Linked DNA regions of Lepisosteus oculatus. The protein of the gene in region 1 interacts with the protein of each later gene in a biochemical or structural test. Links are inferred from orthologs where the notes say so. Each region holds a gene or a part of one and is shown on either strand. Other genes may lie near its edges. The genes, in order: eea1 and rab5c.

What was found.
Region 2: the proteins of eea1 (region 1) and rab5c form a complex in vitro, tested with the Homo sapiens proteins (2 studies listed by BioGRID and IntAct, with this or other methods). The link is inferred for Lepisosteus oculatus from reciprocal best matches to the Homo sapiens genes EEA1 and RAB5C.

What each region holds. Positions count from the first base shown.
Region 1 is NC_090702.1:52,257,786-52,268,035, reverse strand, and holds the start of eea1 (early endosome antigen 1), read left to right. Parts: upstream 1-6,322; 5' UTR 6,323-6,447; coding exon 6,448-6,471; intron 6,472-10,250. UniProt on the Homo sapiens protein: Binds phospholipid vesicles containing phosphatidylinositol 3-phosphate and participates in endosomal trafficking.
Region 2 is NC_090723.1:5,230,431-5,240,115, forward strand, and holds the start of rab5c (ras-related protein Rab-5C), read left to right. Parts: upstream 1-5,711; 5' UTR 5,712-5,892; intron 5,893-9,685. UniProt on the Homo sapiens protein: The small GTPases Rab are key regulators of intracellular membrane trafficking, from the formation of transport vesicles to their fusion with membranes.

The DNA.
Region 1 (10,250 bases):
GTAGTTGATCAAGGGGACACTGAGAAACCTTCATGTCAATCGCAGAGGGAGTTTTAGTGCTCAGAAGCATGGGTTTAAAGTAACACAGAGACATGTCATCCTCTAATGGGAAAAGCACGCCTTTGACAGATGACAGTGGTGGTCAGAATTCTTGATTTCTTGCCAGAAAGCTTCACATGCACTCTTGGTGAAGTAATATACTGTCGAGCTGTGAACTCCTCTTAGCTAAACATACATTTGAACAGATGTGTTTACCAGGGTTAGAAGCTGCCTCTCAACCAAACAGCAATTGATTTCTACAATTCGTCAAATTTGTGCAAGTGGGGGGTTGGCTAAAAAAGATGTAAAAACTTTCATACTTAGGGCATCACAGCAAATTATAATTGCATTCTGCGGGCTGTAGTTTTTAAAAAGAAAGGTAAGACTTTTAATCAGAGCCTCTGCTAGTGTTTTCTGCTATATTCTGCTTAATAACTTGAATATCTTAAGCTTATTATTAGCTTAATAATAAGCTTTGATTGCCTTTAATATAGCTTAGTTAGAATGGGAATAATGCTAGATTACCATTTAACAATTAATTCAACATTGATAAGTCTTGAAAAAAAGTCCCCGCAATTGTAGGTTAACTATAACCATAGGCTACCATGGGAATCAAAACTCTAAGAAAATAATAAACTGAGCTGTAAAACATTCACTCATGCACTCTGTAGCAAAAAAGGGGAAATATTGCAGACATGCCTTAATGAACGGTATAGGCAGGTCCTAATTATGGAACTTCAGTGAAAAATAAAAGACACACATTAACCAGACTTTCTGCATTGTATTCCAGTACTATGAATCTTTGGTTGTAAGAGTAAATTGTGCGATAAACTGATGATCACCAGTCTGATTCTCACGGCTTGAAGGGAAGTGCACTTCCTGGGAAAACAATGCATGTTTGAAATTCAGGGTAGAATTAGGAAATACAATCGGATTTAGGAAGAACAACAGAACTGGGCACTTCAGGAAAAGGAAGAAAGGATTTAGAAACATAATTTGCTCACAAACAAGAAGTTATTAAAACACTGCTCTCGATTCATAAAGAAAGGAATGCAAACTGAGATTTCACGCTGTCTCATAACCTAGAAAGTGAGTTATTCATCTGGGTAAGGTAATATAATAATAATAAACTTTCTTTTATTTTGCGCCTTTAAAGATGGCTTCTCAAAGCGCTTAAGGTACTACAAATCAGAGCACTGAGCAATTGTCCTTATGTAGTTCTAGGGTGGTTTTAGGTAGCAGGAGTCCTTTGCCTCTTTTAACCTGTTTTGTTACCTTTGATTTGTCTGTTTTATCTCTGTCCTTCTGACTGCATGAAAAGTAAACACCACTGCCCTTATGCAATGACTGCTTGTGGATGAATAGTAATTGATCATGAGGCTGTACCCTGAGTGTACATATGAACATTAGCTAATGGCCACCAATTGAGATATTGATCCTCACACACACCTTGGCACAACCCTTGGGTTGACACAGGATTGTCTCCACACCCTCCTTCACAGACACGATGGCAATCTATAACAGGAAAAGGTTCCTGACAATTTTTCCCTTAGCTCAGTCATCCAACAAGGTGATTATCAGGGAGTGTGTTATATTGCACTGTATTGAAGGATATGACTGGACTTATGTCTTTGTCCACATTACTGCTGTCACTGATGATGCATCCATATTGGTTGCTTGTAGCCAGGCCTCTGGATACACTGCTAGAGGGTCAATCAAGTGCCAAACTACTGGTATATTTTTAACAAGGTACCCACCCTTGATTTCTCCAGCTGTATATATACAGTATATTGTTACCAGCAGTGCTGAGGGAGTATAATCTGTGATGCATCAGCTTTCTATACAAGGTATTATACTTTTACCTTAATTACAGCACTACAGTGAACAGGAAAATGTCTGGCTCTCTGATTCCCTTAACTTGTAAAAGAATGTGAAAAGTTCCTGTTTTGACCCCCATAACACTAAGTATTGGTTCAGAGACACTAATTATTTTGCCGACACCGGAACATTGCAAACATTGGACTGTACGACATGATTTGATCAAATGTTAATTAGTGACCAGCACAGTGAGATACATTACTCTCTGGTGCACAAATTGTAATGGATTACACAACAATGGAGCATCTAAATTTGGTTACCTGAGAAAGGACATACAAGCATACATTTAGATAAGCAAAGCAGGTGTTTATTAATAGTGTAACATAGCATATAGTATTAGTTACTTTAAATATATTTCAGATGTGCTACTTTCATCATAATATGTTAAAGAAAGATTTATATAAAGTATGCAATTCAGTATTAAAAGCAATTACAAGCAATTATTAGTAGTATCTTGTAGCAATAACTAGTTGATCATAATACAGTTACTGTAAATACTTTACAGCCTTCCAATGTATTTCCTGTATTTTAAATTGTATTCTTATTATATGTTTATTGAAATAAATAGCTTTTAAAATGTTTCACATGGACACCTCCTATGTGATGCCTGGAGACGTACTAACATGCTTTAGTTATCTGGGATATTTTAATTGATTTTAGGTTTGTAATGTTTGGTGTGCTTTTGGAAAACCCAGCAGTTAAGCTAAACAACGCCCTGTATATCTTATCCAGTTAGATGATAGGTACAAGAATCATTTCAATAGAACATGTACTAAAACTCTTTGGCTTATGATTAAGCCGAATTACAAACAGTGGTTGGCCTTACTGCTCCCCAGTGCTGAGATCCTGTGTTCAGTTTCAGATTTGGGGTCCTATCTGCGGGGAGTTTGCATGTTTTCTCTGTGTTCATGTGGGTTTCCTCCAGCTCCTCCAGTTTCCTCCCACAGTCCAAAGACATACTGGGAGGTTAATTGACTTCTAGTGTGAGTGTGTGTGTGTCTTGTGTCTGTGTGTGCCCTGCAAAGGATTGGTGTTCCTAATAACTTCCTCCTAACTTCCAAATACATGTTGGTTAGGTAGTTGGCATTTCTCTAAAAACTCTCCCCCTGTGCTTGTGCTTGTTTGTGCCCTGTGACCCCCTACCAAGCGTCAGCAGCTGTGAATGGATAGATGGATGGGCCCCTCTAGTGGATCCTGATGGAACTGCTTCCTGCCGAAATACCCACCTTTGAAAATGACTTGTATGGCAGTACAGCGTGAAGCACTGGGGTATTTTTAGTGAATGATCAATAGCAAAAACACAAATAACATCATCTGTATACAGGAGTATCATATAACATTATTAATAGAAACGAGTATCATCAGCTTCTCTAAAGCCACCATTATCCGACTTCTGAGTCCCTAAGTTTAAAAAAAGTTATCCTTGTTTTGATTTCATGTTTGGTTGCTGGCAGCAACCAAAGACACCTAAAATTTGGGGCTGCTATAAGTCGATTCTTTCAGGCAATAAAATAAACAGAAATTTAGAAAGCAAGAATATGCAGAGATCAATATATAATTCAGGAACGTGTTGGTCCCTATTGATTTAATGGTAATGACACTGTTTAACAATCTCCATCTATTAATGAGATTTAATTTCATAACCCACAGCATGTGTGCATTCATGCTCTTTTCTTCAGAGTTTTTCTTTCTTTTATTTACAGTGGTTAAAATGTACACCTGGGCTCTCACCCAGCTGTTAATGTGATATAAGATCTCAGATTTCTTATTGGTTAAGCAAGGACTGCATCAGTTGTCTCCTACCAGGGGAATATTTATCATGGAAAGCACTCATTTGCCTGGTCCGGTCTGTTCTCCATCTTGACGCAGGCCAACAGGACATTTAAAAGGCTAGCTTCACAGAAGCAGCTTGGAAAACCAGATGTTTTTCATTTTGAACACAGAAAAACAGAGATCATTGTTCTGCTGTGATGTAAGAGTCCTGTTTGGGCAATTCCCAAAATGGCACATCTCGGGACAGACAAAGTTTCCACTTATCCTTGATTTCCACGGCCTAGGAATCATCCAATGATGATAGTTTTCTCACCGTGTGAAATGAAGAGCTGAATAAAGTATATTTGTGTTTTACAACAAAGAAGAAGTCATTTAGCACTGGGAAAGTGGGAGAAGAAAACATGAAAAGACAAGACACGAAAAAGAGTCTCATGACAAGTGATGCAATATAAGTCCATTTATAATAATAATGTTTTTATTCATAAAGTTGATTTATTTCCTTATGATGAACAGACACGGGTGGGAATAACACTGTGTCAAATCTTCCTACAATGAACAGGCCACCCTACTGAAATAAGGTGTGTTTCCAAAGAGACAATGGAAATCAATAAACCTGTCGTTAAGAACTTAAGATGGAACACTAAAAGATAGCAAAATTAGAGGGCTATGTTTGGAAAAAACTGACTTTAAAAAGCCAGACTAAGAATATTTTATTTTTTAATATCATATATAATATATAATGGAACAAGTAATAGGTTTATTCCATGCTGAAAAGAGAAGAGAGAAAACACAACGTTTCAGCTGTGAAGCCTTCTTCGGCTGACGCAGCTACCCACCTGAACTACTATAATATAAATTATCATATATAATATATATTGTATATATGATATAATATCATATTTTTAAAAGAAAAATATGCTTTGATTTAAAACAATGACTTTGATCCATTAAACAGCTTTCAGACAACCGCAGCGTGCCCAGGGTGGACCTTGCCTTGTGTGCTTTTGCTTGCCAGGATAGGCCAACCTTGTATTGGATAAAGCAGTTTGAAAATGGGTGTTTTGTATGGATGGGCAATAATACTGTGCTTAAACTGTGGTTTCTACCATTCTTTTGCCAATGGTTTCCTATCCTATCCATCGAGGGGGATCCCCATTACCTGTAAAGCGCTTTGAGTGGAGTGTCCAGAAAAGTGCTATACAAGTGTAAGCAATTATTAATTATTATTATTATTATTATTATTATTATTATTATGCTATTAACATGTCTTTACTGTGCTTGCACTTGCATTACACCACAGTAATTCCTTGATGTGGAACAACAGAAGTTACAAAACAACTGTACAGTTTATGATGGTACTGTAGCATGCACCGTATTTCACTCCTCCTGTACAGGAATGCACGAGACAAAACAGCCAGACGAGACGTCCGGATCAGTTGGTGGCTAACAACCAAAAGGGCAGGATGAGTTGGAGGGCCTCTTTTTCTTTGTTCTTAAGACGCAACAATTGTGAAGTAACCCCGCAGTAAAAGTACAAAAATAGTATAGTAAAGTCACCACCAACTCTCATAAAGGTTAATGATAGTACAAATGACTAGTGCAAATTGCAGCAGATCTTGGCAGCATATCACTCCTACACTTACGTTTCTACATTGGTTGCCTGTTAGGTCACATATTCAATATAAGATCTTGTTACTGATTTGTAAGGCTCTGAATAATCTGGCTCCATGACAATTTCTGAATTCCTTCACGTATCATGTATACACTCCCACCCGTTGAGGCTGGTCCTCTGCTCATTGTACCTGGAATTGAAACTGTGGGGCTGTTGGTGGCCGTGCCTTTTCTGTCACCCCACTGTTATGGATCTCCCTTCCACCTCTTCTTCGAGAGGCAAATTCTTTGACTCTCTTCACATCTAAACTAAAAACTCACCTTTTGACAAGGGCCTGTGTCTGATTGCCCTACATTCTATACCACATGCTTTTGTTTCATTTTTTTTTCTTTTACTCTTTTTGTGCTTTTTCTTTATCACTATATACAGCGTCCTTGGGGTAAAGAACTTCCTTTCTCTACTCTGTTCTTTTTAATTGAGTAGTTTTCACTTATTTCCTTTTGCCATATTTAAGATGGTCATGCCATTATATTACAATACCGTTCTGGTAATAAGAGGCCTTGTGATTCATTTCCTTAGATACACCACTGATTGGAAACATAATCTTAATGGCATAAAAACATGAGTATTCTTACAATTCTTTATTTCACTCTCTTATAATCAGATTTTATAATTAATCCTCCTTTAACCCACAGCACAACCAAAGCAGAAACGGGCAATTAAAAATTTTATAAAGGGCTGCTTCTTTTCTGACTGATTTTTTTTTTATTTTTTCAAAAAAAAATACATGACATTACCATCCCGTGAACCATTCCACTCACTTCCCGTATTCCTTTCACAGAGCAGTCTAGAAAGAAGGCCCGCCTCTCTCGGCTCCGGGCTTACCAATGAAAATGCAGGACGGCCTGCCAATCATTCCGTGTTCTTCCCTTCTCCGTTCTGTTCAACCGAGCGACGCCCCGCCCCCTTTGCACATGAGCCCCACCCCCCTCCCCGTAGCACCGCCCCCACCCTTGTGCTCCGAATTGCAGGGCTGTCAGCAAGCGGGCTTGGTCAGGTGCTTCTGGGAAACGTAATAAGGAATAAAGTTTTTCGTTTCGTTTTAGGTTTTATTTTCGGAAACAAAAGGGGCACCGGTCTGCACCATGTTCAGACGAATACTGCAGCGGGTAAGCTCGGCGCTGGCGGAACTGCGGGCGTGCTGGTGCGGTGCGTCTTGTTTTCTCTGTGATTGAATTAGCTGTCCATGCCCTGCAAAAGCAAGGCCTGTCCTTCCTCTCTCTCTCTATGTGTGTGTGTAGGCCGTGCGAGTAGGCCTCCTGTTTGTCAGTGGACTGCCGCTGATTAATGTATCAAACGACAACGATCACTTGTAGCTTTTGGCGTTTGATGTCGAATTCAGCCCTTCAGTCGAAGCTGCGGGGAGCGGCGCCCAGGCTGCTGTTTGCAGCGGTACAGACCCTGGACCTATAGTGTCAGGCTTGGCTGATCCGGACTATTGAATTGGACTCGCACAGAAATCACCAAGTTAGTGTGGGCGTTCCGCTTTATTCGCATGGCGTGCCGTGCGATTGGCTGTGCCGACGATGTCTCCTTTTTTTTTAGTTCTGATTTCCTTCTGATTTCGACGTATAAAAGTGTACGTCTGAAGCGAGCTCCCGGTGCTTTATTTTATCAGCCGTGTGCACGGGCTGTGCCCTCCAGTCATGGGTACTGTCATTTATTTTAACTGGACTGAGCAGCCTTCGCTCCTGGAAGCGGTTTTAATGCATTACATTGTGAAGCGTTTAGGTCATCAGTTGCACACATCCATTCTACTGTTTTTTTTTCTTTCGGTACGCTTAGTATTTTTAATGATGAAATACAGTTATTGTCCGGAAAAAAAAACTTGGCATTCGTATCATTTTTACAGCACTGTTGATGATGTTGTAGTGATGGCTTGGTACCATCATGTCAGACTCTTTTGTATTTGTACACAAGCGAAGCCTTGTATTCAAACCAAACGCTCGTCAGAAATGGTGATCTTACCGATTGTAAAGCAATTGCTAGAGATGTGTTGAAATAATTAGACTACTGAATCTCTGAGTTAGTCCTGCCCTACCTGGGCGAAAATAAAACTCGAGATGCCAATCACAGATGTGCCTGAGTCTGCTCCATTTTGTGCCTGGTGTTGTATTTGCTGCACTGTTATCGCTATGTGAAGGTGGCCAGTTTTAATTTGGCAGGACCTTGCATCTCAACCTAGGCTTCCAGTACGAGCCAGAAGGATGACGTCTAATGATCTATCGACGTGCAACGAAGAGTTGTGAAGTTAAACGTCCTTCTTGTTACGTTTCACAGCGTAATGTCAAAATGCAACCCTTACGTGGCCATGACCAGGAATCCATGATCGTGATGGTAGCCTTTATTACACTTGGATTGCAGGAGTGGCAAAATGATCCAATTAAGCTTTCCTCTCCACTTATCTTACTTTTCAGCATGGAATTAAACTCCGCTTGTTCTAGTCATGCCATGCCCCCATTAACTGATATAGTGTATGTCCACAGTGGAATGTGCTAAGTTATAGTGGCATGTCGAGTAGTATAAGAATACTATAATGACACCATTAGTAGATTATACCCCTCTTCATTTAAAAAAACACCCTGGGACCACAGAGAGTCACGACCTCACCTTTATGTCTCATCTGAAGTTGGGTCCTTTTTTTTTTTATTTTTTTTATACAGTATAGTGTCACCGTCACTATACTGGGGCATTAGGACCCACACAGACCACAGGGTGAGCGCCCCCTGCTGGTCCTACTATTGCCTCTTCCAGCAGCAACCTTAGTTTCTCCCAGGAGGTCTCCCATCCAGGTACTGACCAGGCTCACACCTGCTGAGCTTCAGTGGGCTGCCAGTTGTGAGTTGCCGGGTGATATAGCTGCTAGCATATCATTTTATTACCATTAAATTTTACACCCTTTCACACTTATTAGGTCACTCCTCGGAGGACTGAAATGTAGGGCAGTATTTTTTTTTTGTTTTCCCTACCTTTGACTCTTAAGATTTAAGGCAGCACGTTATCTACATACCAGTGACTGAAAAGCTGGGCTAAATTGGTGGACAGTAGTTTATTAGCAATTTGAGTGTGACTTAAACACCTAAATGCTGAATGGTAGTCATGTGTTGGAAAGAAGTGACAGCAACTGTACAGAAGCCTAAATAAGACTGGAATTTCATACCCGTCATACCCCTGTATCGTTGTTTGTACTATGCAGTACTCAAAATCTGTCATTAACATGTTTTCCCAGGTTTCAAGGTTAACTGTGATGTATTTGATGCATGACTATCACTTAAAACAGATGTCAGTCTTTTCATCATAAGATCTTTTAAGACCCAGATAAGATGATGGGTATCTGCTTAGATGTTTTTATCTGGGGATTCAAACCATCCCCAATAATAAACTGCATTCTGCCAGCTTGAATGAACGTACATCTGTTCCTGCTTCATGCATTTTAAACACATGTTTAAAATGAGTCACATGGCAGGCTAAATATATTTTACTGTTGCATTATTGCATAGGTCTGCTGTCTAACAATGTATGGAAGTGTCAAAGACATTTTACATGGCGAGCAGCCTTCTGAGTGGACAATATGTTTTGCAGCTTCAACGATCTAAGTAATCTAATGATGGTGGTGAGCAAAGCTTAGCTATGTTTGCATTTCTCACAAAGATCTGAACTATTCAGAACGTTTAGAACAAAGCATATTGATTTGCATTGTTTGCCTAGCTATCTGTGGGTTAATAGCAGCTTCACACAAGGTGAGACTCAGGTGATCAAATTTTGTTTCTGATGATTGACTCTAATTATCTACGTTATAAGTAAGAATGCCCATTCAAGAGGGACTAGGGAGGTCTTGAGCTGTCCTCCAGAGGTAGAGACCACAATATAAACACGGGGAAGACAGGACACAGGGTAGGCGCAGTCCAGGGGAAAACAAAGAAAGAGAAGATCATTTTTCTTTATCCTCCCTTTCTTCCTCCAGGCTTGAGTCATGCACGAGGACCTTGTTCTGATCCCTCTTGGAGACCAGATTCTGGCTATGTAATCTGAACATTATTATAGAGAGCCTGCCGTCATGTTTATTTTAGGAAATTACGATTTCCTGCGTTGTGGAATCCTTGGACTTGCGACATACTCCCCTAGTTTGGTGATGCGTTTCTGGAATAGGAAAATTAATTTCTGTTTTCCTTTGGGACTCAGTGTTACAGGAAGGCAGATTTAGTTCTGACACAGAAACATTTTCCTTAGGTTTCTCAGGTTGTTTCTCTGTCTGTCCTGTTTAAGATACTGTGGTTGTACTTACTGTGGTAATACTGTAGATTACAAGAACCGAATTTGGGGTTTCTTAGCCTACAGGAAGCGCGACTCAGGAATATACAGATTGTACACATTTGTATAGTTTTGTAAATTGTCGTTTAGTTGTGTTATTTTATTGTTAATGTCTGTCCTGTCAAGTCTGAACCTGATTTATTACTTTGTCACCAGAGCTGTGTCTTGAGTCGCTTTGTTAAGGCTCGGTATTATCCTCTGTGTGTACAGGTAATTAATCGGGTTTACTATAAATTGTGGAAGCCGTACACATAAATTAGATTATGACTTTCTCTGTGACCCACTCACCTGTCAAATGTGGTAAAATGCATGTTTATGTATTCACACTGTTGATAAATTAACCACTCGTATAGCAGGCGGGAATCCCTACACTTTTCAAGAAACATCCTGGGGTTTTTAATGACCACAGAGAGTATGGACCTCGGTTTTACATCTCATCTGAAGGACGTCACTTGTTACAGTATAGTGTCCCCATCACTATACTGGGGCCACAGATTGCAGGGTGAGCACCCCCTACTGGCTCCTCTTAATACCTCTTCCAGTAGCAACCTTAGTTTTTCCAAGGAGGTCTCCCATC
Region 2 (9,685 bases), on another chromosome or scaffold:
AACGAAATGGGGTTCGCTATGCAGGATCATCGTTCTGGTTCGTCTACAATTATTTAGTTCTTTCAGTCTGGATGATGTGTTGTCATGATGTCTTTCATCCTATTATGTGTAGAGCAGTGGGAGAGAAAGCTTTCTAAATGACCATGTGAGCAGGGTGCTGGGGTGTAGGATGTCGCAGTGCAGTTCAGTGCGCTGCAGAAGTAAGTTAGTTGGCTGGCCGTCGAGAGAGCAGAACAAACTCAATTGTCTGCTCTGAAATGGTTATTTTCAAGGGCTTTTTATAATCCAAATACAGCTCCACTGAACCTTTTCTGTTGGCATAAATGCCACGTCTAAGACATAACCTACTGTACATTTAAACACAACAGAAAGCAAGAGGCTATACTATGATATAGGAAGGTTTTAAACCCCCACCCAGAATGCTTATTCTGATGCCCAGATGTCCAAGAACGTCAAACCCTTTCAGTCTGCTAAACTTGTCACTGCGTGATTCAGACAACAGGTATACTGCCTTTATAACATAAGGAAACTATGCCTAAATTAATTCTGCAAGGTGCATTAAAAGTAGCACCACAACGGCAGGCAGCTTCTGTACTACATTTCTAAAACCCTGCAGTTGCGTAAGATTTTTCTACCTTTTGCAGCAGCAGTTTATAAACTGAAGCATCCTGCTGCGCACGTCCCCTGGGGGCTGTGTTTTTAGCTGCAGATGACACAGATCATCCATTTCGGCCGATCTCGGCGAGAGAAAGGAGCAGCTGACACAGGGAGCTCTGCAGTCCCCCAGGGCAGGCATGCTCTGATTGGAAGTGGAGGAGCAGAGTGTGGGCAGGTGAGCGCTGTGCTTACACAATCACCTGCCTTTCTTTGGTTTCCTGCTGCTGTTGCAAAAATTTTTTGGGCACTGCAGGATCTCAGATGTTCTGTCTTATAAAATTATCTGGGTGCGATTTGTCTAAAGAGTTCAAATTAGTATGTGTAGTTAAGACTTGCAGATTGTGTTTTGTTACCTGACTGATAAATTACAGTACATGTCTTAGGTATACTTCATATACTAACAGAACTGTAGGGTTTGACGTTGGCTGCTAATTAGGATATAATTACAGTGACATGCTAAGATCTCTAAAGGAACAAACACTCCAGGCTGATTTGTCTTCTGATTTTGCTCAGGTACAGTGCATCCTTTAGAACCTCACCTACCAACAGTAAAGGGGATCAGTGAGAAGGAGGTCAGCTTGGACGATCTCTGCCTGTCCCACCCTCCCTTACATGCACCTCAGCTCCAAAAGTCTCATCATTTCCCCCTGAACTCCTGCAATGGAGGAGACACCACTCTAAAATGCTGTGTGCTGTGCATTGTGGTGTGTTTTGCTTTCCTTAGATGGATGTTGAGCAGAGTCTTGAGGGAGTCCATGTGGCTAATGAAGCTCAGCCTTCCAGCGAAGTGTCGGCCCCCCGCCCCTGTTCCCACCCCCTGCGCCGCACCAGTCTGACATGGCCAATTAGCCAACAAGGGAGCACCTGAGCACATGACGACACCACCACACTCACAGGCACAGGCTTCCCTCTGGGGACCTCGCTGCCACAGCACAGACTTGCACGTAGCATGACCTCGCCACAGCACAGACCAATGGGACTGAGCTTGCGAATAACCGGAAGAGCCAGAAAAGAAGAGCTGGAGTAAGTGAGGTCTCGGTAGACCAGAGATTTAGGGAGGCCTCCCCAGTGGCTCAGCTCTTAAAGGCACTCACCAGAATCACAGGTTGAACTCTCTGATCATGCGTTTAAGCCTGGGTCATGTCACTGGCGTATTACTGACTGAGCACCACCAAGAGTAGGGTGGGTATAGTTGGCCAGGGCTCTCAGCATCACAGCGCCCCCTGCAGGCTACTGGCCACTTGCAGGCCTGCAATGCTTTAGATGAGGGACATCTCTGGCCTGCAATAAAACCATGGGACCTGGTCTGTCTGGTATGATACCTTATGAAGCACCAAAAAAAACCCCACATAAACTGAAGCAGTTTTGTATTCAATCTCTCCCACATCTCATCCCGAGAGGCGGAAGAGAAGATCATACCTCAAAACATTTGAGAAGCCCAATTCTGCAGTAATGGTAAAAAATGTTTTTTGTTACACAGCAAATTACCAATGCATGGAACAGATTAGACAAACCAGGTTGTGGAGGTGGATATGCAGGGATCTTTGAAAATTTATCTTAATGTGGCAGTTGAATAACACACTGTACAGGCAAATGATAAGCGCTGGTGTGTTGAGCTCACTGTTCTGCTCCAGGTTTGCTTACACCCATCTTAAAGTTTTTTTGGGGCTATGCTGGACTACAACAACACTATGACTTGCGATAATACACATTCACACGCAGTGACCACCTTGGGTGAATCATAGCTGTGTTGCAGTATTTGTAATGAATTTATGTTTTGTCGTAAAACAAATAAAGAAAAACAGAGGTAAGTGTACAGGTTGCAGAATTACCAAGCAAACCTGTCTTGGTTGTATCACACTGTTGTGCGTGCTAATTCTCAAAAGTGAGATGAGTGGAGATTTGTGTTACATAGAACTCTCCATATGCTACAAGCTGCATAGAAACAAATCAACAGGAATAATTGCTGGGATGCAGTTGTCTATGATCAATTCTTAAAATCATTACAACGACGTGGAAAGAGTTTTTCATTTTAAAGGAAAAAGGAGCTGCTTTCTGAGATTCTGCGGACAGAATTTGCATGCTTGAGGTGAACAGGACACTCGGTTGGCATGTGCTTACTGGCTAAAGCCCAGATTACAAAAGAACATAATGTTGTATTACCAGGTGTGTAGTAAATCGTGGAGCAGGTTAGCTTTCTCTTGCACACACTGGCTGTGATAAATGGGCTGCTCAACACCATCCGGCATATCCTGGAGCTGCCCCTAATGATTCCCTGGCTGACAATCTGTACAGAACATGAGGCACAGTCCCTAGGTGAACACTGCCCTCTAATGCACCACTGCCACATAACTCAGGCCTCAGCCGAGACCAAAGCCTTTCTGCCCCATTCTGATGAATGCATTAACTGCCTGTAAAGGATTTAAACACACATGCTATATTTTTTAATGCAGGTATAGAATTTCTTTGCTGATGTATCATGGTGGGCCTGGCTCATGGTATTTGTTTTAATTTTTCGCTGTTTAATTTTTTCCAGTATGAAGGCCAGGCAGAATCCATACTTGTCTTTGTCCAGCTACACACACAATAACATTGTAATCTTCCTCACCCGCATGGCCCTTCACACCCCTAGCTGGGAGGGCAGGCAGTGTCATGTTTGCTACCTTTTCATCCCCAGAAACCCTCTGAAAATGTCCCTGATCGTACAGACTCATGCAGCATTTACATGTGGTCTAATACTCCTCAGATCAAGAGGGGTCAGCGACCTTGGTTCTTGAAAAACCATAGTCCTGCAGGACTAACAAGCTTCTGCAGAATTAGTGCAGAATTGAAACACTTTAACTGGTACTAATTTGGCACTTTAACTGGTACTAATTGCTCAACTGTTGACACACAATACTATCTTTGTTAAATTCATTTTCTCTTCCCAGTTTCTTCCTATCGTTCAGCTTTAGTAAAAATGTACAAAAACGGTTTTTAAACCGACAAAAACCGACTGAGGTTAGTAATGGGAGCACGCCATCTGCTGTTCAATAAGGGGAACACAGCCTTGCAGAGACCTGCTGTGGTGTTACGAAGCCGGGACATATTAACCGTTGATCAGATAAAATGTATTGTCCCCTAGGGGTGACTTTTTGGGGACACGCAGTGCTTACGTCTGAATTCATCACAAAACATTACACATCACGTCGATTTACATCTAACATTACACAAACTATTACAGCATAGTCATGACATATTGTAAATACTAAAGTCTGTTACAGCCTAATCGGTTTATACTCACTGTCTAATAGATAAGGGAAAAAATGAATATTTGTATCTATTCGATCTGCATTTGCCAGAGGGAAGAAGCTGATATTCAGAATTAAGAATGTGAAAAAGATCCAATTTATTTATTTTTTAATCCACCTGTTTATGGGTGGAGCGGTGGCTCTGTGGTTAAGGATCTGCGCCTCTGGCTGGAAGGTTGCCAGTTCAAATCCTGTGGCCGGCAGAGGAATCCCACTCCGTTGGGCCCCTGAGCAAGGCCCTTAACCCCAGCTGCTCCGGGGGCGCTGTATAAATGAGCTTCTCTCTCTGTCTGTGTATCTGTGTGTCTCGTGGAGAGCAAGCTGGGGTCTGCGAAAAGACAAATTCCTAATGCAAGAAATCGTACGTGGCTAATAAAGTGATCTTATCTTAATCCTTTTAAAAAAAAATACTGCAAGGAGGAGGGCTGCCTCACTCCCGAAACTCTCACTGAACACTGGTGGTGGTGGAGGGGATCCCCATTACGTGTAAAGAGCTCTGAGTGGAGTGCCCAGAAAAGCGCTATATAAGTGTAAGCAATTATTATTATTATGACATGTTTTATGTGAAAGTATTTGCCAACACTGAGATCTTCTACAGTATCATTATTCGGGAGTCTGGCAAGAAGCCATACCATGACAAGCCTGCTCCAGCCTCACAACTTAAGGATTTACTGAAACCAACACAGTCTTAAAATTCGTCTTTTTTTTGACGAGCCCAGTCCTGTTTCAAAATTGTAACATTCTGAAATCCCAGAATTTCATTAGATTCATGTTACGTTTTGCAACTGACATCTTTAATTAGACCTAAAAACAGAGTTTCACAGAGGTACCAAAGAGGTACTTTTAAGTGACTCTGAAAAAGACCACCAACATCAAAAAGGCTCTTGGTCTACTGGCCTGCCAGTTCCACTTTTGACGTTTTATCACAGAAGTATTGTGATAGTAAAAATTCCCATTTTACCTCGCCGGCGGTTGTAGTACCACCTTGTGGTCTGGCTTTGTCAGATCTTGGAGTTGAAGCAGAGAAAGGAAACCCAGGCTCCTGCCGGGGCAGGTGTCGTTCGCGGACCAGTAGGTGGAGCTCTTCCCTCTGGACCGGAATTTAAAGAAACAAGCATCCCTACAGGGGGTGATTTTTTCCTTAGAAAACGCAATACACTAAGGTTTGGAGGAGTAATTCAACTTAGGCCTGATTATTGCATCAATATAGATCCCACAGGTGGTTTTCGGGAGTGTAAAGACATCAAAGCCACTGCCTCCGTTAAAATTGCACTCTTATCTTGAGCAGGCCTGCTTGATGTTGTTTCTTAATTCAATTACTGCAGCATTTTCTCACTCCCCCACCTGATCTGCTGCGCAGAGGGGCTGCCGCGCTTCACGTAGGTGGGAGCTGCTCTTCAACAATGAATAAAGTGAGCACCCTCCTACGTTAAGCGTTGTGCAACGCAGGAAATTATAAATGGGTAAATAATGATATAACGTCGACTTCAGCTTGACTGTAGACTTAAAAAGAGGTTATTTGTTAAATGGTTGTGTTGGAAAAGGTTGCTCGAAACCAGAAAAAGTTTAAAACGTCTTTGTCGCAATAAAAGCTTACGTCCACACCAAAACCGCCCTTTAAACCCTTCCGAACTACATTTCCCAGCGGCATCGCGCCAGAAATACGATGATGTAATCCCCGGTCCTAAGCCTGTTCTGGAACGCATACGCTCATTGGTCATTTTGTCTTTCAGTCCCACCCCCCCTCCCATCAGGAAGTAGGTGGATCCTGGAAGTGGGGATCGCAAGGCGGAAGTGAAGGCCGGAGCCTGTGATGAAGAATCGCAGAGCAGAGCTGCGAAATTGAAACAGAGAAGAAAATTCATAGCTTAAAAATTTATTCCGATAGAAGAACCGGAGTACGGAAAACCTAAGAGGGTCTTGCGCTCGGGTGCTGTCTAAAATCGTGAGTTACACCTTGTTGCGTCTCTTGCGTTTGCCGTTTCAAGCCGAGCTGTCCCCAGTATTCAGCTGCCCGTCCGGGCTCTGTTGCAGATTTATCCGCTGGTCTGTGATAAGGGGTTCCTGACTGTGTTGTGTCATAAAATATGCTTGAAGATGAATCGTTTTATTTTCTGTTTTCGTTTCACATGTCCGTTGCGCGGTGAGGCTGCTGTCTCCCTCTCGGCAGGCTGGTAGGTGTGAGTGGGTTGGGGGGGGGGTTGTCTTGTGAGATAATATCGCTAAATAACGTTCAGAGCTATTGCTAAACCCCATTGAAGACAGTTCTGGGGCCGAAATTTCTACTTCTTGTATTAGGGAGTTATCTACATACCGCTATTCTCACCTCTTAAAAAAAATGTGCCCGTGTTAAATCTGTACAGGGGCAAAATAATATCTAGAAAACGTATTAAACCCCTCGATTGTTCCTGACGTGTAATAGGAGTCATACGGTCATTGTACAGCCGCAGAGGTTAGTAGCTCATAGTTCCTCATTTAAAAACTAAAACCAAAATATTCTCCCGTGTTTCGCTCCGTACACGGTAGCAGGTACAATAACTACGCTTGCTGTCTTCAAATGTCTCAGAAGAGGTTTAAATTTAATTTTTAGGTGTTACCCCCCCAATGCTGCGAGTCTTTTTTTTTTCAGGCAGACAAGAACAAATTAATTAATAAACAGAAAGTGACCTTTTATTCCCTGGGAGTTGCTGGTTTCCCGTGGTCCCGGCATGTTGAGTGCGCACAAACAGCGATGTAAATCAATAACTCGGGATCATATGAGAAAGTTGCTGAACTTTTGCTTTATGATTCATTGGCTTACGAAACCTTTGCACGAGTTCTATTCCCAGAACCTGTTTCTTTTCTCGGCGCTTATAGCTGTATTGTCACTAGGAGACAGGGCCTCTTGCTACAAGTTTAGAAAATTTAAATTTGTCAGGTCGACAAGCCCTACAATGTGACTGGATCAATGCTTAAGTGCCATATTTCCAATAATATTTCCAAAGGACTGATTATTCCTGCTCTGCTTTCTTATAAGTGCTGTAATGAAGACCTTAAAAAGCACTGGGTGTAGAAGAGAGTTTGGAACACACATGCACAGCGAGCGTTTGTCCGAAACGAGAATTTCTAACACAGATTCAACCCAGCAGTGTTTTCTACAACAGTGACACAAGCCAGAAGCACAAGTGAAAACGACATGAAAGTGCATTTAAAACTGAGAACAGGAGGCATGTCTTTAACCAAAGTGTTGTGGGAGTGTGGAACAAGCTACCCAGACATGTTGTTGAAGTCTGTACCCTGGTTTCTTTCAAGAAATGACACCCTTGGATTAGTTACCCACTAGCTACTAATGCCCTCCTCTCATTTGAATCAGTGAATCTTTGTCTGCTATGGTGCCCTTTGTATGGTTTGCCAAAGGGAGCCTTTCAGAATTATACAGCAGCTGACGTTGTACTGCAGAAGCAGACCTCATGGGCAAAGAGGAAAGGGTTAAATAGATGCCCCTCCTCCCACTTTGTGATATTTATGGACCAGAAATTAGCTCATGGTGTATTCTGAAGAATCATGGACAATCTCGTTAATGTCAAGGGTGCAGATGAGGCTAGTTGCAATGATATGACAATGTAATGTTATCACATAACATTGTCAGCATCATTTGCCAGCAGTGATCACATCCTTACACAATATTTTACTGCTGCTTGACACCCACAAGCATGGTTAGTGTCCCCCCAGAATGTGCATGTGGTCTGTTCCTGTAAGAGCCTGCTTTCGTTCAGGTGTAGTTTAATGCTTTTGAACTGCTAGATCCATTCCAGCACAAGACATCGAGCAGCCAGCTCTTTCAGTGTAGAGTGGTCTGTTCCTCTTAGGAGCTGGTTTGCAATGAGCGGGTTCAGAGTGAGAAAGGTTTGGGCAGACTCCGTTATGTTCATGGTCTCTCTTCTCCTGGCTGCAGGCAAATCCCCACTCTAGCTGTTTTTTGAAAGTGTCTGTTGTTACAAGATGAAATGCCTTTTGTCAGGATGATCAGTGATTTGATCATTTCCCTACAGTTTGTGTTGTGGTCGAACGTTTTTAAATCAAGTGCAAAAGCAACCATTTCTGCCGTTCAAGAAGGCCAGTTTTCTTTCTGACATGACTCGCTGCATCATAGAATGTGACCTCAAGACCCTAAATAGAGACTCAGCTGATTCTGAAGCCTTTTAGAAAGATCTATGATAGTGCATAGAAAATAAGTGGCAACAAAGAGCTGATCAGTTGGACTGATCCATCCAGGTGTCAGTTGGAGTGGACTGTTGCATATGTTTTAATAGTTTATTTTGATCATTTCAACCTGATTTTTAATATAGATGTTTGTTGTTTTATACCACAGTGTGAATGTGGTTAAATGTAATCGGAAGTGACTGGGTGTGAAATAACCTGTTTCTCACAGTCCTACTGGGCTGTGTTGCTAATTGTCTCTGGCAAACGCAGACATGCCAAGCTGGATTAGGAAAACATCATGCTGCATCAGATCTGGGCATCTGAAACGGGTTCCAGGGCCCCTGTCCTTTTTATCTTTTCTACCAGCAGCACTTGAAATCATCCTGTATAATTCATTAATTCAGGAATTTCAGCAAAGAGTATGACTTTGGTAAATAAGGGAGATGCAAGGCTTAGGGATGATGAAGATGTTAAGAGCAAAGTAGAACTAGTCCAACTAAGCAATGCAGACGTTTTGCCCAGTGTGAAGTTATTTAATATGATTTAAAATGACGGGGGTTATGATCTCGAGGCTGCCTTCTGCATTAGGAAAAACATCAAGGCTCCTTGGCTTGTCCTTATATGCCACAACCTGAGAGCCAGCTTATCTCGACTGTGTGTCTAACAGTGTGACAGGCCCAAACCACTATATTTGGATCAACTGGTTGGCTGTCAGATCTGAAGGAATGGCTGAGGCTGTTGAGTCACTCGTGACGCAGAACAGAAGACTTCCTTTATGTGTAGCTAATATGTCGGTTTCTAAAGGAATTGGCGCAGATCTGCTTCTGAATTCCCCTGTGCAGGGCCTGACTCAGGTTTTAACTGGTGTAGAGATACCTCCTAGGAATTTGCTGCACTTGCAAGTACGTTGTAGAAACCGGATTTTTGACTTGTTGTGTGATTGCTGGGAAGCCTCCTGGATTTGGGAACTGAAGTCTTGACATTCATCAGATTATTCCATATTTGTGAGCTGTTTCCTTTTAACGTGCCTGTGAGGTTTTTTTTTCTAGTCTGGTGACGCATGAGCATTAAGTTTTGTTTAATGTAGACAAGAGCAGGGCTTTACATGCAGGTAGCTAAACCGTAAACTATAAATACAAAATTGGAAAGGCTAAATGTGAACAAGACTTGGATGTTTAAGACAAAGTGAGGATAAATAGTTAAAATTGCGGAGATTTTATATTAAAATGATATAACATGTCAGTAAGGCCTCATTTAGTATCTTATGTACAGTCTTGTTCACTGCAATACAGGTAAGAGGTTGCTGCTCTGGAATCAGTGGGATTCATTTCAAGGCCTAAGGGAATGCCCTATACTGACAGGCCAAAGGAACTGGATCTTTATTTTTAACAGAAAAGACTTCTACAGGCAACCTTATCAAAGTCTACCTAGTGCACTCCTTCAGGATGGACAGTGAAACATGAAACAAGTGGTAACTGTGTAGAAGTGTGTATACAACTGAACAGGAGGCACTTCTTTACGCAAAGGGTGGTGGGGGTCTGGAGCGCGCTACCCAG